Stegostoma tigrinum: one gene and its partners. The protein of the gene in region 2 purifies or fractionates together with the protein of the main gene of each other region. This does not show direct contact. Links are inferred from orthologs where the notes say so. Each region holds a gene or a part of one and is shown on either strand. Other genes may lie near its edges. The genes, in order: tdrd3, fxr1 and orc2.

The links.
Region 1: the proteins of fxr1 (region 2) and tdrd3 purify together in Homo sapiens (affinity purification with mass spectrometry; 3 studies listed by BioGRID and IntAct, with this or other methods). This does not show direct contact. The link is inferred for Stegostoma tigrinum from reciprocal best matches to the Homo sapiens genes FXR1 and TDRD3.
Region 3: the proteins of fxr1 (region 2) and orc2 purify together in Homo sapiens (affinity purification with mass spectrometry; 4 studies listed by BioGRID and IntAct, with this or other methods). This does not show direct contact. The link is inferred for Stegostoma tigrinum from reciprocal best matches to the Homo sapiens genes FXR1 and ORC2.

Annotation. Positions count from the first base shown.
Region 1 is NC_081359.1:3,343,325-3,353,535, forward strand, and holds the start of tdrd3 (tudor domain-containing protein 3), read right to left. Parts: upstream 3,860-10,211; 5' UTR 3,657-3,859; coding exon 3,619-3,656; intron 1-3,618. UniProt on the Homo sapiens protein: Scaffolding protein that specifically recognizes and binds dimethylarginine-containing proteins. Plays a role in the regulation of translation of target mRNAs by binding Arg/Gly-rich motifs (GAR) in dimethylarginine-containing proteins.
Region 2 is NC_081367.1:47,593,059-47,603,441, reverse strand, and holds the start of fxr1 (RNA-binding protein FXR1), read left to right. Parts: upstream 1-6,641; 5' UTR 6,642-6,834; coding exon 6,835-6,885; intron 6,886-10,383. UniProt on the Homo sapiens protein: mRNA-binding protein that acts as a regulator of mRNAs translation and/or stability, and which is required for various processes, such as neurogenesis, muscle development and spermatogenesis.
Region 3 is NC_081360.1:19,755,400-19,764,755, reverse strand, and holds the start of orc2 (origin recognition complex subunit 2), read right to left. Parts: upstream 3,742-9,356; 5' UTR 3,701-3,741; coding exon 3,631-3,700; intron 1,985-3,630; coding exon of another isoform or gene 1,957-1,984; coding exon 1,810-1,956; intron 1,452-1,809; coding exon 1,350-1,451; intron 762-1,349; coding exon 675-761; intron 209-674; coding exon 177-208; intron 1-176. UniProt on the Homo sapiens protein: Component of the origin recognition complex (ORC) that binds origins of replication. DNA-binding is ATP-dependent. The specific DNA sequences that define origins of replication have not been identified yet.

The DNA of each region.
Region 1 (10,211 bases), on a different chromosome or scaffold from region 2:
TTAATCAGAAAGGACAAATGCAGCAGATGCATGGGAACACAGAACCTGCAAGATTTCCTTGAAGCCACACACCAGCCAGCTTTGAAATAACATCACCATTCCTTTATTGTTGCTAGGTTAAAATCCTGGAACTCCCAACCCAAAATTATTGCGGGAGGACTGCTGCAGTTCAAGAAGGCAGCTTACCACCAGAACAATAAATGCTGACTTAGACAGCAATGTCCACATCCCATGAACAAATTTAAAATAAAATCTAATGTTGCTCATCAGTGACGATCATATACTACTTGTATGCTGATGACAGTCCCCTCTTGCTCACCATTTCTCTCAACCGTACTTGCTGATTTTCATACTGCTTATCCAACATTAAGTATGGGATGGGCATAAAATTTGACCAACAGAATATTGGGAAGACTGAAACCGTTACTTTTGCTCCCTGTCAATGGTTGAATGTTATCTCCATTATTTGTTTATACTTACTTTCAAAAATTCTGAAGCGTAACTGCAGAGCATCAAGGAAAACAAATGCCTGGTCTTAACCGTTAGAAACGTCACAACTCCAAATCACTGCGCAGATAAACATTAAAAACGAGCATCTTCACAAACACTAGTTAAGGATTGTTTAATCTTTTTGTTGCAGTTCAAGTTATCGACAAATGTGTGCAAAAATAAAAAAAGTTGCTTTTCTCAGACATGCTAGTTATGGGAAGCCACCCCAAAGCACATTGTTTTTGCAGTAGTGCATCATTGACAATCAGGATGCAGCTTTAGAACTGGTGGCAAAAAAAAGCCTAATTTTAAATTTTAAAAGGGCAAAATGTCTCAAAAAGTGCAGGTAGGGAAATTCAGGGCTTTGCAAATAGGCAAAGAAATCACTGGTTTTCTTTAGCTCTTTGAATGGCCTGCTGGTAGGGAAGAAACAACAGTTTCCATGGAATCAAACATCCCAAGGCACTTCACAAAAGCAACATAAAACAAAGTATGACATCAAGTCACGTAAGGAAACATCAGGTCAGATGATCAAATGCTTGGTCAAGGACGTAAGTTAAGAAGAATCCTAAAGGAGAAAATTGAGGTGGAAAGGCAAAGTGATGTGGGAAAACAATTGCAGAGCTTGGAAATTGAAGGCATGACCACCAATTTTGATTGTGAATTCACAAAAGGTCAGAGTTAAAGTATGTGGTCATGGGAAGATTTAAGAATAGGAATTTTAAAGTTGATATGTTACAGGAGCTGCTGCAAAGAGGACTTCAGCCATTACTGGAGAATAGGTAAGAGTGATTTAAAGTTAAGACAAGAAAAGTGAGCTTTGAGTGACGTTACATTTACAGAAGGTAATATATAGACCAACCCTAGCACATTGAAATAGCTGAACAAGAAATCAAGGTGCAAATAACAGCTTCAGGATTTGATCCGTTGAGATGAGTGAAGTAATGCAATAAGACCATAAGGCAGAGGAGCAGAAATTAGACCATGGCTGATAAGTTACTCAACCCATTCTCCTGCTTTCTCCCTGTAACCCTTGATCCCTTTGATCATCAAGAACGTATCTATCTCAGCCTTAAATGTGCACAATGGCCTGGCCTCCACAGCCTTCTGTAACAGTAAATTCCATAGATTCACCACACTGTGGCTGAAAAGGTTTCTCCTTATCTCTGTTCCAAAAAGGTTATACCTTTACATTAAGGCTGTGCCCTCAGATCCTAGACTCTGCTACCAATGGAAACATCTTCCCAACATCCACTTTGTCCAGGCCATTCAGTATTCTGAAAGTTTCAGTTCATTCCCCCTTCATCCTTCTAAACTCCAATGAGGACAGTCCCAGAGTCCTCAAACATTTGTCATATGTTAAGCTTTTCATTCCTGGCCCCATTCTTGTGAACCTCCTCTGAACCCGGTCCAGGGCTAGGACCCTGGAGATTTGGGGCCCAAACCTGCACACAATACTCCAAATGGACAATAGACAATAGGTGCTGGAGTAGGCCATTTGGCCCTTCGAGCCAGCACCACCATTCATTATGATCATGGCTGATCATCCACAATCAGTATCCTGTTCCTGCCTTATCCCCATAACCCTTGATTCCACTGTCTTTAAGAGCTCTGTCCATCTCTTTCTTGAAAGTATCCAGACAGTTGGCCTCCACTGCCTTCTGGGGCAGAGCATTCCATATATCCACCACTCTCTGGGTGAAGAAGTTTTTACCTCAACTCTGTTCTAAATGCTTACCCTTTATTTTTAAACTGTGTCCCCTGGTGCTGGACTCACCCATCAGCGGAAACATGCTTCCTGCCTCCACAGTGTCCAATCCCTTAATAATCTTATATGTCTCATTCAGATCCCCTCTCATCCTTCTAAATTCAAGTGTATACAAGCCCAATCGCTCCAATCTTTCAACACATGATAGCCCCGCCATTCCGGGAATTGACATCGTGAACCTACGCTGCACTCCCTCAATAGCAAGAATGTCCTTCCTCAAATTTGGAGACCAAAACTGCACTCAATACTCCAGGTGCGGTCTCACCAGGGCCCTGTACAGCTAAAGGACCTCTTTGCTCCTATACTCAATTCCTCTTGTTATGAGGGCCAGCATGCTATTAGCTTTCTTCACTGCCTGCTGTACCTGCATGCTTACTTTCATTGACTGATGCACAAGAACACCTAGTGGCCTAACCAGAGCCTTATAAAGCCTCAGTAGTACATCCCTGCTTTAATATTCAAGTCCTCAAAATAAACACCAACATTGCATTTACCTTCCTGATTACTGACTCAACCTGCAAGTTTACCTTGAGAGAATCCTGGACTAGAACTCCCAAGTCCCTATGCACTTCAGACTTCCGGATTTTCTCCCCATTTAGAAAATAGTTCATGCTTTTATTCTTCTTACCAAATGCATGGCCTCACTTTCCCACATTATACTCCATCTGTCACTTCTTTACCCACTCTCCTACCTGCCCAAATGCTTCAGCAGCCTCTCCACCTCGATACTACCTGTCCCTCCATCGATCTTTGTATCGTCTGCCAACTTAGCCAGAATTTCCACAGTTCCTTCATCTAGATCATTAATGTATAAAGTGAAAAGTTGTGGCCCCGGAACTGAAGCTTGCAGAACACCACTTATCATCAGTTGCCGTCCTGAGAAACACCCCCTTATCCCCACTCTCTGCTTCCTGCCAGACAGCCAATCTTCTATCCATATTCCAGAAGCGGAGGTAGTCTCAGTGATGACATAACTGTGGCCAAGTGAGCTTGCCTTAAAATGTTTTACTAAAAAGCAATATACGTCCTAGAAACAGAAAATCAAATCCTTCAACTCATAACCGGATCACCCTGAAGGACACTATCGTCTTTCTGCCAAGTTGACAACTACACAACCCATATTAATCATCGAAATTCCAAAATATTTATTTTAAAACTAAGGGAGCATAAAAGACGATCACAAATCCATACTAACACATTTGGAATGAGGCCTAGTCTACCCAATGGTAGCCAAGTTTAGTACAAGGAGTTCTAACTTCAATGCACTGACAGCGGAGTCCGTAAGCGTGACAGCCTGAGCCACTGGCCGTCCCCCTGCTCCCACTCAGGCCTCCGGCTGCTCGCCCTCAAGCTTCACTCACCAGCCTTCCTGGGCCAGAGCCAGGCCCGTGTCCGCCATCTTCACGCGGGCGCCCTACTAGCGAACACGGCGCGGCCGACGCACGAAAGGAAACCGAGCTGCGAATCACGACGGCAGCTCCCCAGTGAGAGGAAGGTGAACCTCATAGTATAGGCCGGCGGCTCCACGCTCGGGCCTAAGCGCGGTCACTTCCAGCAGCGGCCACAGCCACCGCCGCCCCTCCTCCACGCGATGGCGTCACACACGCAATTCCAACGGCCACGTCTCGGGCGGCGATTGACAGTTCATCTGACCAATCGGTGAGAAAGCTCTGTCACCAGCCGCCATTCAGAAACTAGCGATGAGTGACCACGGCAGAGAGGCGGAGTTTGATTGTTGCAACAAATCAGCGGCAGAGGTAATATGGGAAACGTAAGCGATCCCGGTGTGTTCTTTTACCTCCAGACAGTATCGGCACATGCTTTTCCAAAAGTAAAATGCTAAGAATGAATTATTAAAATCGCAACAATATACTTTACTCTTTAAAGTACATCTGTGTATATTCAGAGGTACAAAAGCAGGTCTCTGAAGGGTCCCGAGCCCAAACGTTGACTCTCCTGCTTCTCTGATGCTGCCTGACCTGTTGTGTTCCTCCAGCTCCGCACAAATCTTTGCAGAGAGAAAAGAACACTGGAATTTGGCATTCCTCACAGCTTCACGGCAGTTGCAAAAAAAAACCTTTTCTACTTATGCACGAGCTATTTACATTCAATTCAAAGCAAGGAGGGGTCTGAGAACTTAACGAACCCTTGATATACTTTTGTGAGACGTCGCACAACACCAGGTTATAGTCCAACAGGTTGATTTGATATCACAAGTTTTCGGAGCGTCTCTCCTTCAGGTGTAAGTGAGGTAGATAGTGTCAGACACAGAATTTGTAAGTAAAAGATCAAAGGGCCAGACCACTGATCAGGATGTATTCAACAAACCTGTGATGCTGTTAAATCTTTAATTAGTTAGAAGATTTTAATTGAGTAATATGTATATGTAAATCCCAAAATTCCTTTCAAGTCACTGTCCTGAGAGAGCTAAGGGTTTTATCAGTGTAAAGAAGAGGTGACATTTTAGGTCAGACAATGCATGTTAGGTGTGAGGCTTTGTTTAAAATCTGTTTGTGTTTTGGTTTGGAGTCAGACTGGTTTTGCTTCAAAAGTAAGAATTTGTAAAATGCTATATTGACTGACTATAAATTGTATGCTTTTTGAAGTAAATAGAATGTATCTCAAAATAGAAATTCACCCCATAGATTCACGTTTGTGTGTGTGTGTGTGTGTGTGTGCGCGCGTGCATGCATTTGTGTGAGTGTATGTGTGTGTGTTGGGGGAAGAGAGAGACAGAGAAAGAGTGTATGCATGTGAGAGTGATAATGGGAACTGCAGATGCTGTAGAATCCAAGATAATAAAGTGTGGAGCTGGATGAACACAGCAGGCCAAGCAGCATCTCAGGAGCACAAAAGCTGATGTTTCGGGCCTAGACCCTTCATCAGAGAGGGGGATGGGGAGACGGTTCTGGAATAAATAGGGAGAGAGGGGGAGGCGGACCAAAGATGGATAGAGGAGAGTATAGGTGGGGAGGGGATAGGTCAGTCCAGGGAGGATGGACAGGTCAAGGAGGCAGGAAGAGATTCTCCAAACCAAAACACAGATTCTAAACAAAGCCTCACACCTGATATGCATTGTCTGACCCAAAATGTCACTTCTTTACACTGATAAAACCTTTAGTTCTCTCAAGACAGTAATTTTAAAGGAATTTTGGGATTTACATATACATATTAATCAATTAAAGCCTTCTAACTGATTAAAGATTTAACAGCACCTCAGGTTTGTTTAATACATCCTGATCAGTGCGGTGACCCTTTGATCTTTTACTTACAAATTCTGTGTCTGATACTAAGATCAGGCAACATCAGAGCAGGAAAGCTGACATTTCAGGTCTGTACCCTTCTTCAGAAAAGAAGAGTCCAGACCTGAAATGTCACCTTCCCTGCTACTCTGATGCTGCCTGGCCCACTGTGTTCATCCAGCTCCACACCTTGTTATCTCAGACTCCAGCATCAGCAGTTCCTACTATCTCTGTGTCTGGTAGTACCTATCTCACTCACACCTGAAGAAGGAGAGACACTCTGAAAGCTTGTTTTCAAATAAACCAGTTGGACTATAGCCTGGTGTTGTGTGATTTCTGAACGTGTTCACCCGAGTTCATCACTGGCATCTCCACATCATTATACTTCGGCAGAAGGACCTCAGATGCTAAGGACCTTAAATGCGGCATGGTGGCTCAGTGGTTAGCACTGCAGCCTCACAGCACCAGGGACCCAGGTTCGATTCCAGCCTCAGGTGACTGTCTGTGTGGAGTTTGCACATTCTCCTCGCGTCTGTGTGGGTTTCCTCTGGGTGCTCTGATTTCCTCCCACAGTCCAAAGATGTGCAGTCTAGGTGGATCGGCCATCCTAAATTTCCCGTGGTGTTCAGGGGTGTGTGGGTTGTGGGGTGATGGGGATGGGTGTGGGTTGGATGCTTCAAAAGGGGACAGTGTGGACTTGTTGGGCCAGGGGGCCTGTTTCCAATCTAAGAATCATGGAATTGTTTGGTTCATTCCAAATATAGTATCCAAAGAAATAAACCTTATCCAACACCATTCATGACCTCATCACCTCAGGGGACCTCCCACCCACAGCCTCCAACCTCATTGTTCCCCAACCCCGCACGGCCCGTTTCTATCTCCTTCCCAAAATCCACAAACCTGCCTGCCCTGGCCGACCCATCGTCTCAGCCTGCTCCTGCCCCACCGAACTCATCTCCACCTATCTGGACTCCATTTTCTCCCCTTTGGTCCAGGAACTCCCCACCTATGTCCGTGACACCACCCACGCCCTCCACCTCCTCCAGGACTTCCAATTCCCTGGCCCCCAACACCTCATATTCACCATGGACGTCCAGTCCCTGTACACCTGCATTCCGCATGGAGATGGCCTCAAGGCCCTCTGCTTCTTCCTGTCCCGCAGGCCCGACCAGGCCCCCTCCACCGACACTCTCATTCGCCTAGCTGAACTCGTCCTCACACTCAACAACTTCTCTTTTGACTCCTCCCACTTCCTACAGACTAAGGGGGTGGCCATGGGCACCCACATGGGCCCCAGCTATGCCTGCCTCTTTGTAGGTTACGTGGAACAGTCCCTCTTCCGCACCTACACAGGCCCCAAACCCCACCTCTTCCTCCGGTACATTGATGACTGTATCGGCGCCGCCTCTTGCTCCCCAGAGGAGATCGAACAGTTCATCCACTTCACCAACACCTTCCACCCCAACCTTCAGTTCACCTGGGCCATCTCCAGCACATCCCTCACCTTCCTGGACCTCTCAGTCTCCATCTCAGGCAACCAGCTTGTAACTGATGTCCATTTCAAGCCCACCGACTCCCACAGCTACCTAGAATACACCTCCTCCCACCCACCCTCCTGCAAAAATTCCATCCCCTATTCCCAATTCCTCCGCCTCCGCCGCATCTGCTCCCACGATAAGACATTCCACTCCCGCACATCCCAGATGTCCAAGTTCTTTAAGGACCGCAACTTTCCCCCCACGGTGATCGAGAACGCCCTTGACCGCGTCTCCCGCATTTCCCGCAACACATCCCTCACACCCCGCCCCCGCCACAACCGCCCCAAGAGGATCCCCCTCGTTCTCACACACCACCCTACCAACCTCCGGATACAACGTATTATCCTCCGACACTTCCGCCATTTACAATCCGACCCCACCACCCAAGACATTTTTCCATCCCCTCCCCTGTCTGCTTTCCGGAGAGACCACTCTCTCCGTGACTCCCTTGTTCGCTCCACACTGCCCTCCAACCCCACCACACCCGGCACCTTCCCCTGCAACCGCAGGAAATGCTACACTTGTCCCCACACCTCCTCCCTCACCCCCATCCCAGGCCCCAAGATGACATTCCACATTAAGCAGAGGTTCACCTGCACATCTGCCAATGTGGTATACTGCATCCACTGTACCCGGTGCGGCTTCCTCTACATTGGGGAAACCAAGCGGAGGCTTGGGGACCGCTTTGCAGAACACCTCCGCTCAGTTCGCAACAAACAACTGCACCTCCCAGTCGCAAACCATTTCCACTCCCCCTCCCATTCTCTTGATGACATGTCCATCATGGGCCTCCTGCACTGCCACAATGATGCCACCCGAAGGTTGCAGGAACAGCAACTCATATTCCGCCTGGGAACCCTGCAGCCATATGGTATCAATGTGGACTTCACCAGTTTCAAAATCTCCCCTTCCCCTACTGCATCCCTAAACCAGCCCAGTTCATCCCCTCCCCCCACTGCACCACACAACCAGCCCAGCTCTTCCCCCCCACCCACTGCATCCCAAAACCAGTCCAACCTGTCTCTGCCTCCCTAACCGCTTCTTCCTCTCACCCATCCCTTCCTCCCACCCCAAGCCGCACCCCCAGCTACCTACTAACCTCATCTCACCTCTTTGACCTGTCCGTCTTCCCTGGACTGACCTATCCCCTCCCTACCTCCCCACCTACACCCTCTCCACCTATCTTCTTTACTCTCCATCTTCGGTCCGCCTCCCCCTCTCTCCCTATTTATTCCAGTTCCCTCCCCCCATCCCCCTCTCTGATGAAGGGTCTAGGCCTGAAACGTCAGCTTTTGTGCTCCTGAGATGCTGCTTGGCCTGCTGTGTTCATCCAGCCTCACATTTTATTATCTTGGAATTTCCAGCATCTGCAGTTCCCATCATCTCTAAACCTTATTTCAGTCAGGTTTATCTCTGTAAGATTGTAGTTTCTCCCTCCCCCATTAATGTAGGTTTCTGCTGGAAAGACAGATGTCAACAAATTTGAGAAGTGTAAAATTAATAGGATAATAATATTAGGGGATTTCAATTTCCCCAATAATAAGTAGGACAGACAAAGTGTGAAAGGCTTAGTGGGTGAAATTCTTAAAATGTACCTCAAAGAGCTTTCTTAAGAAGCTCGTAGAATGTTCTACAAGACATGGAGAGATGCTGGACAAATTTTAGCAACCAAAGCAGGGCAATAGCAGATGTGTCAGTTGGGTAGCATCTTGTCGATAGTGACCATAATTCAGTAAGATTTAGGGTAAAAATTATGGTTAAAGATCAGGAATAATGACACAGAATTGGGTAAAAATCAATTTTAACTTGATAAGAAAGAAATAAGAAAGGCTTCGGCCAAAGTGGTCTGGCACCAGCTACTTGCTAGAAAATCCACACTAGACATGTGGAAGTTATTCAAAAGGGTAATAGTGAGAGTGCAGGGCCAACATATTTCCACAAAGGCAAAGCGCAGGACCAAAAAGCCCAGATAACCCTGGGTGTCAACAGACATAAGGACTGAATAAGGAAAATAAAGGAAGCTGATGGCAAATGTTGAGGGCTCAGAATGGCGGATGCCCAGAGAAGTATAGAAAGTGCAGGGTATTACTTAAAAAAGAAATAAGGGAGTTAAGACACAACATGGAGAAATGCTGACAGCCCATATTATGGAAAATCCAAAAGTGTGTTGTAAATATATTTAGGAAAACAGACTAAGCGGGGAACGAGTAATGTCCATAAGGCAACAATGTGGCAGTGTGCGTGGAGCCGGAAGACAGAGCTGAAGCTTTAGCTGAGTGCTTTTCATTTGTATTCATCAAAGAGAAAGATGATGTCGGTATGGAAATCAGGGAGGTGGACCGTGATTTACTTGAACAAATTAACATTGAGAGGGAGGAGGTATCAGAAGTTTTACAGGGCTTCAAACAAGGAATAAGAATAAGCCACTTGGTCCTTTCAGCCTTCTCAGCCATTCAATAAGGCTGATCTGATTTTAATCTCAACTCTACATTTCTGCATATCCCCCATAATTTTTCATCCCCTTAGTAGTCAATGATCTTTCTACCTCTACATTCAAAATATTTAAAAATTCTGCATTTTGAGAACTCACAAACATTTAAGAGAATTTTTTTTCTCACCTCTGTTTACAATGGATACCCTCTTATCTTTAAACCATGACCCTAGTTTTTGATTCCCCTCGAGAGGAAACATCTTTGAACATCCACCTGACCAATTCCCATCAGGACCTGAACTGTTTCAATTAAGTCAAATGCAGTTCTTTTAAACTCCAGAAGATACGAGCCCAGCTTTTCTAGCCTTTCATCATAAAACAATCACTCATTCTAGATCCAGATAAGATGGATCTCAGGTCGTAGGGATAAACTGGAAAACCCCAGACCAGTGAGTTTAACATCAGTGGGATGAAAATGATTAGATAAATGTCTGAGGGATGGAATTAATCTAGACTAGGAGAGGCACAAATTAATTAAGGATAAGTCAGCATGGCTTTGTCAGGGAAGGTCACATCTAACAAACTTGATTAAAGTTTTTGAAAGACATGACAGGTATGTAGATAAAGGTAGTGCAGTTGATGTACTCTACATGAAATTTGGTATGGCTTTTGACAAGATCTCACATGGCAGTCTGGTAAAGAAATTGAGAATCCATGGGACACAGTGCAATGTGCAAATTGAA
Region 2 (10,383 bases):
TAAGTTTTATGACTGGTGGGTTATAGAAAGGAGATGTTGTGGGTAGCACATGAATTACCAATAGGGGGTCATTTTGGAGTCAGGAAAACACAAGCCAAAATACAAGAGTATTTTTATTGGCCTGGACTACATACGGACATGGTTGAATTTTGCCAGAAATGTCATAGATGTCAGCTAATAGAAAAAAACATCAGGCAATGAGAAAACCAGCACCATTAATACCTATTCCAGCATTTGAGGAGCCTTTTACAAGAGTCTTAATTGATTGCATACGACCCCTACCTAAAACGAAAAGTGGGAATCAGTATTTGTTGACCATAATGGATGGGTCTGCTAGATTTCTAGAGGCCATTCCATTCAACACTGTCATGGTTAAAAAGGTTGTAGAAGAGTTACTCAATTTTTTTTTCAATAGCTATGGACTAGCCACAGAAATACAATCAGATCAAGGGTAAAAATTTTACATCAAAATTATTCAAAGAAGTTATAGTTGGCTTAGGAATAAAATAATTCAAATCTACTGCATACCATCCAGAATCACAGGGAGCATCAGAACAGTTGTATCAAATTTTAAAAATCATGTTGAGGGTTTATAGGCAAGATTATCCAGAAGACTCGCGTAATGGAATTCCATTTATACTTTTTGCAATAGGGGTATACCTAATGAATCAACAAAATTCAGTCCATCTTAATTATTTTTGGATATGAGGTAAGAGGACTACCGAAATGTATGAAGGAGTCATTGATGAGTCAGAGTTCAGACACTACATCTTTGGACTATGTCAACTTCTAGACTGAAATTAAAAAGAACGGGTGAGCTGGCTAAGCAGCATTTAAAAGTAGCACAGCGTGTGCTGAAACAGGAAGCAGACAAGAAATCAAGAATTTACAATTTTGCTAGTAGAGATCAAGTGTTAATGTTACTCCCAGTGGTCGGTAAACTTGTAAAGGCAAGGTTTAGTGGGACTTATCAAATCAACAAAAAATTGAGCGAGGTGAATTATTTGGTAAGAACACCAGATAAAAAGAAATGGGATTTAGATGCTTTGAGAGAAATAGGGAGAGTGGAAGAAGAGGTGGTGGAGTGGCATTGCTAGTCAGGGTTAGTATAGCAGCTACTGAGAGGCAGTTTGAGAATGATATGTCTACAGAGTCAGGTTGGGTTGAAATCCAGAACTAGAAAGGAGCAGTGACTTTGTTGGGTTTTTTTTTACAGACCTCCTAATAGTTGCAGAGAAGTAGAGGAGCAGATTGGGAGGCAGATACTGGAAAGGTGCATAAGTCACAGGGTTGTAGTCATGGGTGACTTCAACTTTCCAAATATTGATTGGAAACATTTTAGTTGTAATAGTTCAGATGGAGCAAATTTTGTCCAGTGCATTCAGGAAGATTCCTGACACAGCATGTAGATAGACCAACACAAGGAGAGACCACTTTGGATTTGGTGCTTGGTAATGAACCAGGCCAAGTGTTAGACCTGTTGGTAGGACAGCGTTTTGGCATAACAATCATAACTCTGTTACTTTTACAATAGTCATGGAAAAGCTTAGATACATACAGCAGGGTAATGTTTATAATTGGGGGAAAGGTAATTACAATCCTATTAGGCAAGAACTGGGTGACATAAATTGGGAACAGATGCTGTCAAGGAAGAGCACTATAGAAATGTGGAGATTGTTTAAGGAATGCATACTGCATGTGCTTATGTGGTCGAGTGAGGGAGCCTTGGTTCTCAAGAGAGGTCAAACAACTGGTTAAGAGGAAGAAGGATGCTTATATAAGGTTTAGGAAACAAGGAACGGAAAAAGGCTCTGGAGGGAGACAAGTTATACAGGAAGGAGCTGAAGAAAGAGCTTAGAAGAGCTTTAAGGGGGTATGAGAAAACCTTGGCAGATAGGATCGAGGAAAATTCCAAGGCTTTTTACACGTATGTGAGGAATAAGAGAATGACCAGAGAAAGGGTAGGGCCGATCAAGGATTGTACCGGGAATTTGTGCATGGAGCCTAAAGAGATAGGAGAGGTCCTTAATGAATACTTTTCTTCGGTATTCACAACTGAGAGGGACCTAGTTGTAGGGGAGGACGGTGTGAAACAGGCTGGTAGGCTAGAGGAGGTGGATGTTAGTAAGGAAGATGTGCCAGGAATTGTGAGGAAGTTGAAGATAGATAAATCCCCCGGGCCTGATGGGATTTATCCAAGGATTCTATGGGAAATGAGGGAAGAGATCATAGGTCCTTTGGCAATGATCTATTCATCCTCACTGTCCACGGGTATAGTTGCCGGAAGATTGGAGAGAGGCAAATGTCATTCCCTTGTTCAAAAAAGTCAATGGGGATAACCCCGGAAATTGCAGGCCAGTTAGTCTTATGTCAGTGGTGGGCAAATTATTGGAAAGGGCTTTAAGAGGGAGGATTTATGATCACTTGGAATGGCATAGTTTGATTCGTGATCGTCAGCATGGATTTGTGAGGGGTAGATCATACCTCACAAACCTTATTGAATTCTTTGAAGAGGTGACCAAACACTTGAAGGTAGAGCAGTGGGTGTGGTATATATGGATTTAAGTAAGACATTTGATAAGGTTCCCCATGGTAGGCTCATGCAGAAAGTAAGGAGGCATGGGATAGGGGGAAATATGGCAGATTGGATTCAGAATTGGCTGACCCTTAGAAGACAAAGGATGGTAGTGGACGGAAAATATTCAATATGGTGCTCAGTTTCAAGTGGTGTACCACACGGATCTTTCCTGGATCCTCTTCTATTTGTGATTTTTGTAAATGATTTGAATGAAGGAGTGAAAGGGTGGATTAGCAAGTTTGCGGATGATAAGAAGCTGGGTCAAGTTGTGGACAGTGCGGAGGGCCGTTCTAGGTTCCAGTGGGACATTCTAAGCCCTCGAGAGTTCCTCTAAGTGCTGTTCAACATGGTGGAGTACTGTTTCATCAACTGAGGCTGCACAATACTTGCTAATTAGGTTTCCTTGCCCATATTTGACCTGATGTCATGAGACTTCAATGTTCAGGACTCCTACCTGACTGGATGGCGCTATGCCACCACCTATATTTGGTCCGTCCTGCTAGTCATGTTGCTGTATGGCAGCATGTTGTGTAAGTGTCACACCTGCACCACGTGAAAGTAGCTTACCTGGATACAAGCAAATCCCCAGTCTGAAAATCAATCCTTATTGGAACAAAGGGGGACCATCATCAATCATTGTGTGCCATTACAATCAGTTAAGGTCCACCTCAGTTCAAGGGTTACCTACTGTCATTCATCCACTAAGGACTGCTTCCTTTGACTTTCAGACATGGCATTTGCCTGCAGCCCAAGTAGTGTGTTTGCCACATGAGCCATTTGCACATACTGTATGTATGGTATACGCATAGAATGCTTTCATTCAGCAACATATCTACCCCATCCCCTTAATTGTCCAGTAGAATGGTGACATGCTTCATGCCTTTCCTTCTGATTAAAAGCAGTGTAAGTGACAGAGGTTACTAGCCTGTAATTTAGGACTGAAGAGCCAATGTGCCAGAAAGCAATGCAAGTCAAAGAGGCTGACAGCCTCCGAGTTCATGAAATGTGAATAAATGCTAAAACAAGTAAGCTAAGAGACCTAAGATATATTGTGTGTAGATGAATGAAATGTGTATGTGTCTTTGTGCACAAAGCAGTCTGATAGAAGCATGCACGGCAAATGTGTCCCTGATATCGAAAGTGAGTGCTTTGTGGAGTTGGTCAGCAAAAACCCATAATGGTGAGGTAAGGCTAGTGGTTGGCAATGCTTTTTGCGTGGAGGAAGTATGGAAGAGGATGGTGTCTGTGGAGTTTGCAGGGAAATGGTAGTGATGGCAGAGATGGGTGCAGACCCAGAGAAACAAGTGATAAACTGTGGCTACCAGGTAACTGGTTTGTCTTTTATGTTGGGAATTGATACCATCTCCTTTCTTGGGACAGGAGAGGACAATGGAGAACTGTATAGAAATAAGGTGAGATTGGCTGTTAATAAGATGAAAATGCATGAAAATAAGGTAGTTGCCACTCATTAGTGAGATTCAAACTTTGCAATTTAAATCCTAAAGATAAAATTGGAAATGTTTTCTTGAAGTTGTGAATCTGACTTTTTTCAGTCTCGTTCTTTATCAATGTACCCAACATTAACCATACCATTCAAGACAGTGGAAAGTTCTACATTATTATTGTGTCAACACATACAACAGCCCCATCTGCACATTTTTAAATGTAGTTCTGCTTTACAAAACAATCATCACCAAATATCTGTCATTGATTTGCTTGCTATAGGAGTACTATGATCCCCATAGAGATTAATGACTAAAAGAAACGAATCTCCAAATGATGCCCCTCATCAGAAGGAGATAATGGATAGTTTGAATAATGAATGGATAAAAGTGAATAATGAATTCAATTTTTAAACCCATACTGTAACATTCTAACCCAAAATCAACACAAATTAATATGCATGAACAGATAATTAGTATTTCAATAGAAACAATAAATTACATTTGGAAAATTACATAATTGATACAATAAAAAAGCTCTCAAATTTTTCAGCATCACACTCTGCATAAATGTAGCACCATATGCAGTATCAAAGTCCTTTAACCTCTGCGCTCTGTAAGATCTCTCATTATCCATTGATTTCATCCATGAGTCACATTCATTGGCAGCCCACTTTCATTTGATTACTGTAAAGGTGCTAATACCAAAAAGATGCAGTTCTACGATTTCTCTCTCCCTTTGGTCAAAACAGTGCTATTTTGTAACAGTTTCAACTCAATTTTAACCTGACCACCCAATAGCAGCCAGGGCTCATATTTCTTGCAGCAAACCCATCCAGCTCTTTGAAAACCAAAAGAACTGTGGATGCTATAAACCTGGAACAAAAACAGAAGTTTGCATCTGGCAGCAGAGATAATAAGAACTGCAGATGCTGGAGAATCCAAGATAAAAAAGTGTGGGGCTGGATGAACACAGCAGGCCAAACAGCATCTTAGGAGCATAAAAGCTGACGTTTCGGGCCTGGACCCTTCATCAGAAAAGGTGTGAAGAAAAAAGTCAGAGTTAATGTTTCGGGTCTAGTGACCCTTCCTCAGAACAACCCATCCAGCTGTTTCCTGTGCTCGAACTATTCACACTGCTTTTAGGTTTCTGTCCCTTTTAAATAACTTGCACATTGAATCAGCAAGAGTTCCTTTATGCTCTGTTTATTTCTGCTGAACGTAAAGGTTTTTTGGAGAGTTCTGCATGCTTGTCATAAATACCAGAGGTTCTGTGTCCTTCAGGAGCAAAATAATTAAAACTCGATGCTACCAATTAGCTCCTACTTGGCTATCATTTCAATTGCAACCTCAAGTCGCTGGCTCAGTTCTCAGAAATGACCTTCCAGCCAGAAATTCCAATTATGCTTTAAAAATACAAATTTCTAACAAACTACATAGTTCATGGTATAAGTAAAAGGAACTGGACTAACTGTTATTCCTAAAGAAAGCAAAATCTTATGGTGGCTCACAATTTGCAAAAGCCTCGCACTGTGACCCTGTTGAGACTCCACCTGGAGTACAGTGAGCAGATCTGGGCACTACACCTGAGGAAGAATAAATTGGCCTTGGAGGGAGTACAACAGAGATTTATAAGAATTATATCTGAATGTCAGGGGTTGAGTTTTGAGGAGAGATTACATAAGGCTATATAAATTGTATATTTTCTCCAGCATGTAGAAGGGTATGGATGATTTGGTTGAAGTCTTCAAGCTATTAATAGGAAAAGACAGGGTAGATAAAGAATTCAAGAAACAAGGGCACAGTCTAAAAATTAGGGCCAGACCATTCAGGAGAGATGTTAAGCAGCACTTCAGTGTGTAAAGGTGATAGATATTTGGAACTCCCAGAAATGGTGTTTGACACTAAACCAGATGCTAATTTTAAATTTGAGAGTTTTTTTCTGAGACAAGGGTATTAACGAATGTGGGCCAAAGGCAGGTATGTAGAGTTTGGGCACAAATCAGCAATAATCTCATTGAATGGCACAATAGGCTTACTTGCTTATTCTAGTTGCTGTGATCCTATCTCATCGTCCCAATGTCAAATTACAACTCTGAGTAGTAATAAATTCAGAGAACACATATACTGTTCATGTGAATTAGTGAGCTGCAGTAATGTGTTGACATAAAGGATCAAGGGAAGTTTAATCTTGCAAACCTAGATACAGGTTAAAAAATAAACGCTATCGGGATATTTACAGTTACTTTGAGTAGGGATGAGAGTTGTAGGAGGCAAGAAAGTTCAGTATTGAATGTTGATCGTCCAAAGTTAGGACAGTGAGAAGGCAGGCAATGCTGAATCTTGGCTAGGATCATTAATGCTAAGTCCGGATGTGAAATTGGCAACTGCTTCAGCTTTCCAACCCGGCATTTAAATCATTGCACCTTTTCAAAAGGGACAATAACTCTTGTTCCTTTGATGGTTCTGCTGATATCCGACATTCTCCTTTGTAAGTAAGAACAACTTACTTTCTTTTAAAAGCGCAATGATGCATCTGACTGCGCGATCACAGTTTCAGGTGTAGTGTTGAATTGATTTACACGCTGTTTCACACTTCGCAATTGTTGATTTATTAGTCCTTGGAGATGAAAACCTTTACCAGTGGGACAATTCTGGCAACCATTCAGGAGGAGACTGAGTATCTGAGAGCAAGTGAGTTGATTCATAGACGGGATGTTGACATCCATTAGCTTTGGTGTCTGACTCCCATCGCTCGTTCCTGTGTGTGTACAAATTCTAGAAACACATCCCAGTCTCCCCTGCGCTTCCAATATGGAAGAGCTGACGGTCGAAGTGCGCGGCTCTAATGGAGCATTTTACAAGGTAAGCCCCCTTATCATCTACCGGAAATCTTGTTTTGGTGTTTTTAAAAAGTGTTACGACTGTGTTCAACACGGACATAAGGGCTGCATATAGCTGAGTGTGTAAAATGATGCGGCGCGGCTTTCTCTCGGCGCTAGACAGGTTGTAGTCGCTGTCGAAGCTGCAGGCCTTGCTGAAGAAAGTCACTAGGCCTTATTCTCACATTTCTTTGCCGTTCGTATTTATTTCTTCACGTTTCAGCTGTTTTTAAAATTGTGCTATTTTATAATGGACGATTAACTGAAGGATTTTGTTATTTTCTTATAATCTTTCAATGGCTGTTTAAAAATCAACTATTTTGACGGTTCTCCCATTTATTTCTGTTGCCCTTTGTGTATAGAAAGATAGTTTTAAAAACCTTTTACGTTTACCAACTGTTTTAAGTACGTCATTGGAGTACATACCTCACCGGCTGTTACTTGTCAGTCATGTTTTATCAAGTTTAGAAAACCGCTTGGAGTCTAATTTCAAGTTATTTTTAAACAAGGACGCATGTTGACGCCGCTTGACCGGAGGTATGTTATTTTTACCATAAAAGTGCAGAGGAAAGTTAAAATGACGAAAAGTCTATATGCGTGTTACTTTGAAAAGGGGTTGCTTAATGTGTGTAAATGATCAGTTAAAATAATTGCACAAAGAAATATCGAACATGTTTCTTTGCTTAGTGGTGAAAATGCGTTGAAAAGGTTTATTTCCTCTAGGTTTTATTAGATCTCGAATTCTTTTGACGCGTTTCAAACCTCAACTGTCTTAACACAATGCATCTTAATCTATTGAATTTGAACGCAGTAGAAACAGGCGAAGTATGAACCTGGGCGCGGGAGAACTTGACGTTAAATTTTTGCTTTAAAATAGTGTAAAATGATGTAAGCGTGAATATTATCGACAGATGACGAATATTTTCGAAGCTACTTTGAATAAATACGTTCTTAAGGTTTTAACCACGTTATGACGATGGCAAAGATGACGGTCCCATTCATGAGATAACAAGGTGTAGAGCTGGATAACATAGCAGGCCCAAGCAGCATCAGAGGGAAGCAGCAAGGCTGTCGCTTCGGGCCTAGACCCTGATCCCATTCATGATCGTTTTAAGTTTTTAAGAACGGAAAGGATAGGATCAAAGTTTTCAGTCTGGCTCTTGGTTAAGTGTCTTTTTTTTTTACTTTTCGGCAGATGTTTTGGATTATGAAAGCTTGTATATTTTGGATTTTTTATTAGGTCTGATAGTAGTTGTTATTTTCAAACCATAATAAGGCTGGTTTATGATTTTGCCTCCCTTGGACGAGAAGTTCTATCTTAATTGGAACCTCAGTCTTTTCTGTTATGACTATGAAATCCAGAAATTGTCGGAAAGAACTCAGATCATCACAACAACAACTTGAATATTTATTCTGTTCCCTTTTTAAAGCACAAGACATATCACACAAGCATTATAAAACAAAGTATGATACTGAGGCATGTATTAAGATAATACAACTTAAACAGAGATCGGTTTTAAGGAATATGCTAAAGGTGAAAAGTGAGGTGGAGGTGTAAGGAGGAAATTCAAGAACTTGGAGTCTGGACAGCTGAAATCAGTCCATACAAGTGGGGATGCACAGTGGCCACAACTGAAGTCATGTAGATATCTTGAAGCATTTTGGGGATGAAGGAGAATGATAACTTGTTTGTTTTCGGTTGAGATAATATTGCATATGGTGTCAGGGAGTTTCTTACTGGTTGATTGTTGCTATCTATCTCACCTTTAAGTACTTTTACTGATGTAGCCTCCAGAAAATTCTGGATATTCACAGTTGTCTGGGAGAAGAAACTCCTTTGTGTCTCAGTTGAAAATGAGAAATCTATAACCATGCCCTCTAGTTAAAGATCCCCCCCCACTAAAAGAAATCTCTTCTCAACATTTACCCTGGCAAGCCTCTTCAGAATCTGAGATAACAAGGTGTAGAGCTTGATGAACACAGCAGGCCAAGCAGCATCATAGGAGCAGGAAAGCTTCTGCAGTTCCTACTGTGTCTTCAGAGTCTTGTATCTTTCAATAATATTATGAAAGATTTACTAGCAGAGCATTTAGAAATACATAATATGGTCAAGCAGAGGCAGTTCAGGCATGACACTTCCTTTAAGAATTTAAGGAATTTAACAAGCAGCATAGCTAAAGGGGAAGCAGTGATATTATATCTGGATTTTCAGAAGGTGTTTAAGATACCAAACATTAGGCTACCGCATTAGATAAAATCTGTGATGTTGCCATAATATATTGGCATGGATGGAGGAGTGGTTAACTGATGGAAGACAGTTAAGATAAAGGGGACATTTTTAGGATGATCACTTGTGTGAGGCCATAGGGATCACCGTGCTGGGGCCACAGTTGCTTACAGTGTACTTTCGTGACTTGGATGAGAAAAGTGAATCACTATTGTAAAGTTTGCAGATGACAAGAATAGGTGGGAAGGTGACAATAACAGAGCCTTCAGATGAATGTAAACAAGTTACATGAGTGGGCAAAAATTGAGCAAATGGAATATCTTGTGGTGAAATGTAATGCTCTGTTCTCTGATGGGAAGAACAGTGGAGATGGATAATGTTCTGCAGAACAGGGATCTGGGAGTTCTCAACCATGAATAACAGAAAGCTAGCGTCCATCTTCAGCAGTTAACAGGAAAGCAAATGGAATATTGGCCTTTGAAACAAAGGAAATAGCATAGTAGAATAGACTATTACTGTACAAAGGCACTATTCGGACCACAGCCAGAAAACTGAACAATGTTGTGTCCCTTTTCTATGGACAAATATACTGGCATTGGAAGCAGTTCAGAGAAGGTTCACTAAGCTGATACTGGGTCTGAGGAAATGTTGAGTATGTTAGGCCTGTATTCCATTGGAATTTAGAAAAATGAGATCAACTTATTGAAAAATACAAGATTCTTGGATGACTACAACATTGATGTGATGGAGTTGTTTTTCCTCTCTTGTGGGAGAGTCTTAAGACCGGAGGGCATAATCTCAGAATAAGCGATTGCACATTTTAAATCAAATGAGAAAATTTCTTCTCAGTGGTTGGTGAATCTGTGGAATTCTTCACGACAGAGGGCTATTGAGGCTGGATCTTTAAAAATTTCGACCTTGAGTATACTTAAATAGTTAGAGAATCAAAGGTTATAAGGAACAAACAGAAAATGGAGTAGAGGATTATCAGGTCAGCAGCCTCCTTCTGCTCTTAGACTTTATAATCCTAAAATCATGCCTCGTTCTTCTAAACTGTAATGAATAAATACCTCACCTGGTCAGCTATTCCTGATAAGTTCACCTTTCATCTCAAAGTAATCTCTTCTGTACTGTCTCCATTGCTAGTTTAAAACAATTGTATTGTCAGGATTGCAATATAGGCCCCCTAATAGTCGCAAATAGAGCAGATATATAGACAGATTTCTGAAGGCTGCTAAACTAATTAACATAGTG
Region 3 (9,356 bases), on a different chromosome or scaffold from region 2:
AACCTACAGTCTTATTGTCCATGCTCTGTTCTTCAAAAACTCCCATGGATGATACATGGGTCAGAGTTGGATGTCTGCTGATTGCAAGGTGCCAGGATTGATCCTGTGAACCCGCCTGGTTTATTACTCTTTAACCTCAGGGCAGAGAGTAAATGGATGATCTGCTTCATCCTTACCTTAGATGGGGTCTTGCACTGGTTTGATTGTCCTGCAAAAACAACAAAACAAATTCCTTCAACATCACACAATCACAAAAGGCTGGGAAGAAGCAGCTCCCATCAGATGTCTGAAACAAGACTATGCTGTGATTGGGTGATGGCCCACAGAGCCTCAGCGTGGCTTCATTCCCATTAAGCAACTTCTTGGCAAATCAGAGACCATCCAATCTCACATTCAGCATAGTTGCTGTGGTGTCTCAGCTGGGAGGGAGCAACTGGGGCTAAAACTGATCTCAGTGCACTGAGTCAGGACAGATATAAAAGAGCCAACACCAGCCCGTGGTTGGGCACTGGATCACAGTCCTGTGATCCTGAAGGCAGATGGGTGCTATGGCATTGGCAGTACCCATTCCAGCAAAGGAATAGTTTATTACAATGCAGACACTTCCCTAGTTACAGGATCAGTACAGGCAGCTTGCTTCCTTTTGTGATGTTTGCTTGGATCTGAGGGCTTACCGTTATCCTTGATCTGATCTGCTGTCAGCTGCTGGTCAGGTAAACAGAACGTTACACTTTTTCTCGGAGTCTGGGCCAGTTCGGAGGCTGAGAGTCAAAACAGGATAAAGTAAACATTTTAAATATCAATGGTCTCATCTGCCATGCAACCTCCAGGGAGAGTAGTCGTTCCTGTCCCCAGCAGCCCCCAACAACGCCCTCAGCCCAGCCATCCTCTCCCAGGACACACGCACGCACAACCCCAGAATTGTGTGCTTGATGAGGCTGTGTAGAGTGAGCTTAGCTCTGTATCAAAGCCCATGCTGATTTGAAAATGTTCTCCGATAACTCTCAACGTCAAAAGATGGGAATGTCCCTTTGACACATAGACAGTTTGAGGTCAACAAAATGACACTGTTGATCTTTTGGCAATAGATTCACAGTTCAGTTAGTCAGCTGCTGCTCTGGTGATTCTCACTTCACAGCTCTCCCTGTACCTATGAACAGCACCCCACACCCACCCAAAATCATGAACCGCAGTCACTGCACCTGCATCGGGTCTCTACAGCTACATAAGTGCATCGCCGCCTCCTGTTTCTGAGGCCCACGTCGCTACCTACGAACCACATTTCTCACTTCGTCTCCAAACGCTGCACAGTTACCCATCCCTAACAAGACGCGGTCCCCAAAACTCACCGAGCTTTGCCATCTTGTCTGCTCTTTTGGCGGTTTGAAAGGTGAAAAGATCTCGGCCAGCTGCAGACACCCCATCATTCAAGTCACCATGGCAACCTGCAACTACAAGGACAGTTCGAGTTGCTAAAGCAATTGCACCATCTTCACAACCGCAGCAGCAGCACAACTGTGCAATTTCAGCTCGAGGCTCCCGACGTTTATATCAAATTGTGGAGCTTCCTTACTCCACAAGTGAATACCTGGGGCCTGACACTCCAGTAATAGGTTCTGGACCTGGTCTTGTTTCACAACCTTGAGTATCAGCATCTTTTTTTTTGATGCAGAAGATATAAATGTGTATAGGAGAATGTAGTATCACCTGAGAGAGATCCAGGGTTAGGCATACCTTGAGTAATCACAGAGACACCATTGGCTACACTCTCTTAGCAAGATAGAGTACGGCCTGCAGTATAGCCAGTACCTGAGTCACCTGCTCCAAGCACCTCCACGTAATCACGCTCATTAAAGACTTCCAAACTCTCCTGAGACTGCTCTGTCTTCTCCCATTTCTGGGAAGCCCGCTTCACGCTTAGCAATGTCCCAGGCACATTGTTCTTCTGATTAATTCCTGTAAAGTAAGTCATCGTGAAACCCATTAAAACAGTAGGATGCCAGAAATCATTTTCCAACAAAATGTTTCAGTCAGTCCTCAGGTGGTTGAAAGGATCAGGGAAGAACAATATGCAGAAGAGTATAAAAACCGAAGGAACTGCAGGTGCTGTAAATCAGGAACAAAAACAGAGGTTGCTGGAAAAGCTCAGCAGGTCTGGCAGCACTGGTGGAGGAGAAAACAGAGTGAATGCTTCGGGTCGGGTAACCCTTCCTCAGAACTCGGGTCACTGGACCCGAAACGTTAACTTTGGTTTCTCCTCCACAGATGCTGCCAGACCTGCTGAGCTTTTCCAGCATCTTTTTTTTTGATGCAGAAGATATAAATGTGTATAGAACATGGTATCACTTGAGAGAGATCCAGGCTTAGGCATACCTTAACAAGGTATTGGAGAGTGGGAAAGGATTTAATACAGAGGGGAGTTGGGGGAGGAATCTTTGCAGGGGTGTGGGTTGACATTTTGGGGTAGGATTTGGAGAAAAGGCAGGGGTGTGGGTTGAGATTCTGGGGTAAGATTTGGAGGGAAAGCAGGGGTGTGGGTTGAGATTCTGCGGTAGGATTTGGGGGGGAAGGCAGGGGGTGTGGGATGAGATTCTGGGGTAGGATTTGGGGGGGAAGGCAGGGGGTGTGGGATGAGATTCTGGGGTAGGATTTGGGGGGGAAGGCAGGGGGTGTGGGATGAGATTCTGGGGTAGGATTTGGGGGGGAAGGCAGGGGGTGTGGGATGAGATTCTGGGGTAGGATTTGGGGGGGAAGGCAGGGGATGTGGGATGAGATTCTGGGGTAGGATTTGGGGGGGAAGGCAGGGGGTGTGGGATGAGATTCTGGGGTAGGATTTGGGGGGGAAGGCAGGGGGTGTGGGATGAGATTCTGGGGTAGGATTTGGGGGGGAAGGCAGGGGGTGTGGGATGAGATTCTGGGGTAGGATTTGGGGGGGAAGGCAGGGGGTGTGGGATGAGATTCTGGGGTAGGATTTGGGGGTGTGGGATGAGATTCTGGGGTAGGATTTGGGGGGGGGAAGGCAGGGGGTGTGGGATGAGATTCTGGGGTAGGATTTGGGGGGGGAAGGCAGGGGGTGTGGGATGAGATTCTGGGGTAGGATTTGGGGGGGAAGGCAGGGGGTGTGGGATGAGATTCTGGGGTAGGATTTGGGGGTGTGGGATGAGATTCTGGGGTAGGATTTGGGGGGGGGGAAGGCAGGGGGTGTGGGATGAGATTCTGGGGTAGGATTTGGGGGGGGAAGGCAGGGGGTGTGGGATGAGATTCTGGGGTAGGATTTGGGGGGGGAAGGCAGGGGGTGTGGGTGAGATTCTGGGGAAGGATTTGGGGGGGAAGGCAGGGGGTGTGGGATGAGATTCTGGGGAAGGATTTGGGGGGGGAAGGCAGGGGGTGTGGGATGAGATTCTGGGGAAGGATTTGGGGGGGGAAGGCAGGGGGTGTGGGATGAGATTCTGGGGTAGGATTTGGGGGGGGAAGGCAGGGGGTGTGGGATGAGATTCTGGGGAAGGACTTAGGGGGAAGGCGGGGGGGAGGGGAAAATGATGGGGGGGGAGGGTACAAATTTTTGGAAAGATCCCCCAGTCTTCCCTCCTTCTCTAACGCCTGCTTCCCCGTATCTCTCCCGGGGCTCACCGGACAGTTTCTCGATGATGTGCTCCGCCACCTCCTCATCGCCAATGAAACGCACATCCCCGACCTTCATCGTTCAACCGCCAAGCCACTAACCGCGGGCCAAAGGTCAACAGCAACCAATCCGCATCCGGTAACGCATCGTCCAATCACAGCCCGGATCCAAACAACCAATCACGGAGGGCCGACCCGGAAAGGGGCGTGGTTTACCGCTGTGGGGGCGTTGTTAAAAGTGGGCGGGGTTGCTGGAAGGGTGGGGCCAGGGAGCGGAGTGAGACCGATCAGAAGAAAATGCTGGCAATATGCAGCAGACCAGGCAGCTTCTGTGAAAACAGTTAATGTTTCCGGCCCACTTGATAAATGTGAAATCATAGAGGGTTTGATAAGGGCTGGTCTGTGCAGTAAAATGATAGGAGGCAGGAAAATGGGTTCTCTAGTCTGGGGAGATTAAATGCATGTTTGGACTACAGTTTTACAGAATGAATTTTGCAGAATGATGGAGAGAATTTGAGGAGTCAGGACCAACTTTCCACAGACACCTGATTTTTTTTATTGCCCTTGTTACTACTATGTTGATATAACTTTCCCAGTGAACTCAGCAATGCAGATTCCCAAGATGGTGATGCCAGTGTCACTGAAAGTCAGGGAGAAGTAGTTTGATACTCTGATAATTAATTGTCACTTCTGTGGAGCAAATGTTACTTAATACTTATCAGCCCGAGCCTGAATATTGTCCAGGTCTTGTTGCAAATGAACATGTGACTGCTTCAGTGTCTGAGAAGTTGCCAATGATGCTGGACATAGTGCAATCATTAGCAAACAAACATTCCCATTTCTGACATGATAATGGATGTGAGGTCATTGCTGAGGCAGATGGAGATGTTTGGGCCTACAAAACTATCCTGAGGAACTATATAGTGATGTCCTGAAGCTGAGATGCTTGACTTCCAACAACTACAGTCATCTTCCTTTGTGCCAGGTATGACTCCAGACAGTGGAGAGCTTTCCTCCTGATTTCTTGTGCTGTTTCAAACCATATAAAGCAAAATGTTTCCTTGATTATCAAAGGCGGATACTGTCATCTCTGGAGGGAGGCACAGTGATTAGCATTGTTGCCCCACAGTGCCAGGGCTTTGATTCATTTCCAGCCTAGGTGACTGTCTGTGTGGAGTTTGCACATTGTCCCTGTGTTTATGTGGGTTTCTGCTGGTTTCCTCCCACGGTCCAAAGATGTGCAGGTTAGGTGGATTAGCTAAGTCAAAAGTTGCCCTGTAATGCCCAGGGATATACAGGTTAGCTGGTTAGCCAAAGGAAATGCAGTTACAGGGATTGGGGGTGTGAGAGGGGAGGGGTTGCTGCGTCTGTGTGGGATGCTGTTAGGATGGTTGGTACAGATTTGATGGGTCAACTGGTGTCTTTCTGCACTGTAGGCATTCCATAAGTCCTTTTGCTCATGTTTGGACTATGCTTATTGTGATGTCAGGAGCTGAGTGGTTCTGACAGACACCAAACTGATCAAATGCTACATGCGGTACTGTTGTTAACACTTTCAGCACATTGCTGATGATTGAGACCAGTGTGATTGGCCAGATTGTACTCATACATTTTTTTTGTGACCAGGAAGCATTGAAGCATTTTTCCAACAATTCAAAATGTTGCAATCCTCGAACTGAATGCCTCACACAGGACAAATGCTGATCCAGGTTTTTGCTGGAGGAATGTAATTACTTTCTTCTGTGTTATAAAAAAGTACGTTAACCAACTCTTCAGTCTCACTGCCTGTGGCAGAGTTGTTTTGACATAGTCATACAAGCAACATACTGCTGAGTATGTGACTCTTCCCACATCTTAGTTTGTGGGGGTATATTTGAATTTGGCAGGAAGCAGCAGTTCCATAGTAACTTTGCCCCCTCACGTTGGCATTGAGTAAGCAGAAAATTTCACTCTCTCAGCACACTTAGACCTGTGCTTTTCATCAAGGACGGAGTAATATGTTGGCAGTTGCCAATGAAATTGAAGTCAGGTGTATATATAGGCCAGAACACTGTTCTCACTCCTGCTGTGTCTCAGGTGGCCTGTGACATAGGGAGTGATCGTGCCCTGAGGGACGAGGTGCCCTCACGGAAAGGGAGGGGTAACCCCTGTGTGCCAACATGGATGGTATGCATTGGGCACATAGGACACTAGTGCCATGGCTCACTTGCAACCACTCTGTTTTCACCCATGCAGATAGATCTGAGTGAACTTGATGACTAGTGGAGCTGTGTCAGTAGGACACTCCATTCATAGAAAGCAGAATGGCTAGAGAAGTCTATTCAGTTCATCGTGTCCATACTGGTTCTCTGATCATCTAATGCCAATCCTCTGCATTTTACTTGTAACCCTGTGCATTATTCCTTTTCAGGTAGTGATCTAATTTTAGAACCTGCCTCCACCATATTCTGCAGACAGCACATTCCAGATCCTAACAGCTCGCTGTAAAATGTATTTTTCCCCCCTCATATTGCCATTGTTACTTTTGCCAATTACTTCAGAAATTTGTGCCCCCTCAATTTTTTTTTTGTTCACATATGGGATGTGGGTGTCAATAGCTGAGCCAGCATTTATTGCCCAGCCCAAGCTGCCCTCAAAGGTGCTGGTGAGCTGACTTCTCGAAGCACTGCAATCCATGTGCTGTAATTAGATCCAATATGCTGTTAGACAGAGAATTCCAGGAAGTAGACCCAGCAACATAAAAGGACTTCCGATAAAACTTGAAGTCAGGATGGAGTGAGTAGCTTGAAGGGAACTTACAGGTGCTGATGTCCCCATGTAGCTACTGCCTTTGTCCTTCTAGGTGGTAGTGGTTGCTAGCTTGGGAGGTGCTATCTAAGGATCGCTGGTGAATTTCTGCAGTGCATCTTGGTATATAGTACACACTGCTGCTACTGAACATTGATGGTAGAAGGACTGGATGCTTGTGAATGTGGTACCAAGCAAGCATGCTGCTTTGTCCAACTAGAGTGTGGTTGGAGCTGCATTCATCCAGGCAAGTGGGGAGATCTTTCATCACTCTCCTGACTTGCGTCATGCAGATGGTGGACAGGCTTTAACGTGTCTCGGGATGAGTTACTCTCAGCAAGATGCCCAACATCTGAACTGCTCCCTTTAACTACTGTATATACATGGCTAGTCCAGTTCAGTTTCTGATCAATGGTAACTCCGCGAATGTTGATAGTTCGAGTTTGTGATGGTAATGCAACTGAATGTCAAGGGGCTATGCTTGGATTGTCTCTTATTGGAGATGATCATTGCCTAGAATCTGTATGGAGTAAACATTACTTGCCACATATCAGAACAAGCCTGGGATAATGTACAGGTCTTGTTGCATTTGAAAATGGACTGCTTCAGTATCTGTCATGAATGGTGCTGAATATTGTGCAATTATCAGTGAACATCTCATTTCTGACCTTCTGATGAAGGGGAGAACATTGATAAAGCACCTGAAGATGGCTGGCTATAGGACACTACCCTGAGGAACTCCTGCAAAGGTATCCTGGAGCTGAGATGACTGACTTCGAACAAAGACAATAATCCTTCTTCTAGCTATGGCTCCAACAAGTGGAATTTTCCCCTAGATTCCCATTGACTTGTCTTGCTAGAGGTTCTTGACGTCACACTTGATCAGTTGCAGCCTTGGTGTCATGGGCTGTCACTCAACGTCCCCTCTGAAACTCAGCTCTTTTGTCCATGTTTGAACCAAGACTGTAACAATTTCAGGAGCTAAATGGCCCTGGCAAAACCCAAACCGGGCATCACCCAAAGTGTTATTGCTGAGTAGGTGCTGCTTGGTAGCACTGTAAAATGACACCTTCCATCACTTTACTGATGATCGCAAGAAGATTGATTGGGTGGGATTGGACTTATCCTGCTTGAGTGTACAGGACATCAATCTTAATCCTTTCCCAAGTGGGAATAGTTTTCCATATTTATGGTTGTCTGGATTCATGTTTTTCTTTTAGATGAAACTTTCATCAAATCATTCCTCGGCCTTCCCTTCTTCAAGGAAAACAGGGTCAACCTCTCCCCTCTATTGAACTTAAGTTCATGATCCTTTGGACCATTCGCACAAATCTTTTCTGTACTCTCTCTGATACCATCCCATACCTCCAAATGTGTGGTGTCCAGAACTGGATGCAGTAACCTAGGTGAGGCCAAACCAGTGCTTACACAAGTTTAACAATCTCTTTGCTCCATATGTAGCCAAGGTAATATAGTCTTCATTAACCAAGAGGAGGATTTTTTTTTTTTAAACTCACTGGAATGGTGAATGTTGGAATTCTCTACCACAGAGGGCTGCGAAAGCTCAGTCTTTGAGTACGTTTAAGGTGGAGATTGATAGATTTCTGATTATCAATGGAGTGCAGAGTTATGGGGATTAGGTGGGTGAAAGGCATTGAAATGTTCGATCAGCCATGATCATATTGAATGGTGGGTCGAGCCAAATGGCTGAATGGACTCCTATTCCTATGAAATAAAACAGCCAACAGGTAAATGGAAAACATTAGGTGAGAGACACTAAAGATGATGAGATTGATTTAAAATTATAGAAGATTCCTCTTACTCTAATTACTCATTATCTAATCAACACTGTTCCAACTGAAATAAACACAGACACAACTAAATGTCCAGAAACAGCACAGTATTTATTCCAGGTACTGAGATTACAGATTAATAATTTCTCTGCATTGCAGACTGATCTGAATGTTTATACACCTGTATTTACACATTTAAAATCTTTAATCTGTGACAGGTATTTACAAGATCGAGATCACATTCACATCTCTTACATTAACAGTATAGTTCATTTTTAATTTAAAAAAAACTTTTTGTTCAAAGAACGACAGATTTACATGCATCGACTCAACCACCAATACCTGACTTCCCGCCAGATGGCACTTTCACTTCTCTGAACCGTCAGTTCAGAGACCTGTCTCTGAGCATCTGCCAGGAACACAGGAAACATTCAGGTCTGGTTTTAATCTACAGGCCCTTAGGAGAGTAGGAAGTCTGGTGTGGGTCTGCTGCTTATCACTTCAGCTAAAATGGAGGCCTTAAGGAAGGCAGGCAACTTGTCAGCCCTCCCCCATGAAGTTAGCAGTTACACAGACGCACACTGCAGTCACGTCCACCTCTCTAATCTCACTGGATTCACCCTTGCGCTTCACTCGAACATTCTTTGGGCAAAATAGGTTGATTTCTGTTCACGAGCACCGAGACTGAGGACCAAACACGCGCGCGCACACACACAAAGCAGATTAAATTTCCACAGAGAACAAGACTCCACAGCTCTCTGCACTTGTGTGGAATTGGGAGCAGAGGGGATGGATGGGGCGAGAGGTAATGGGGCTCTGTTAACATGGAAAACCATCCAGTTAACCTCCATTTTACTGGGGATCAGACAGGAGCAAGAGGGTTCAGAATCCACTGCAACCTCTTCTGGGATAGTGAGATCACACCCGGGTCACTTGTGAAACGATTAAAGTGAAGGACAATATAACCAGCTCTTAAATGGAATGTAAAATCAGAATGTGCAAAAGAAAATCATTTGAATTTATACCTCAATATACAGATAAATTACATTCACTAAGAATTGACTCTTTGCCTTTCGTAACAAAACTGCAGCCTAATCAAATCCAAGTTTAAAAGGTCAAGCTTAAACTTCATCCCTGCCTGGCATGGTGTTTGTG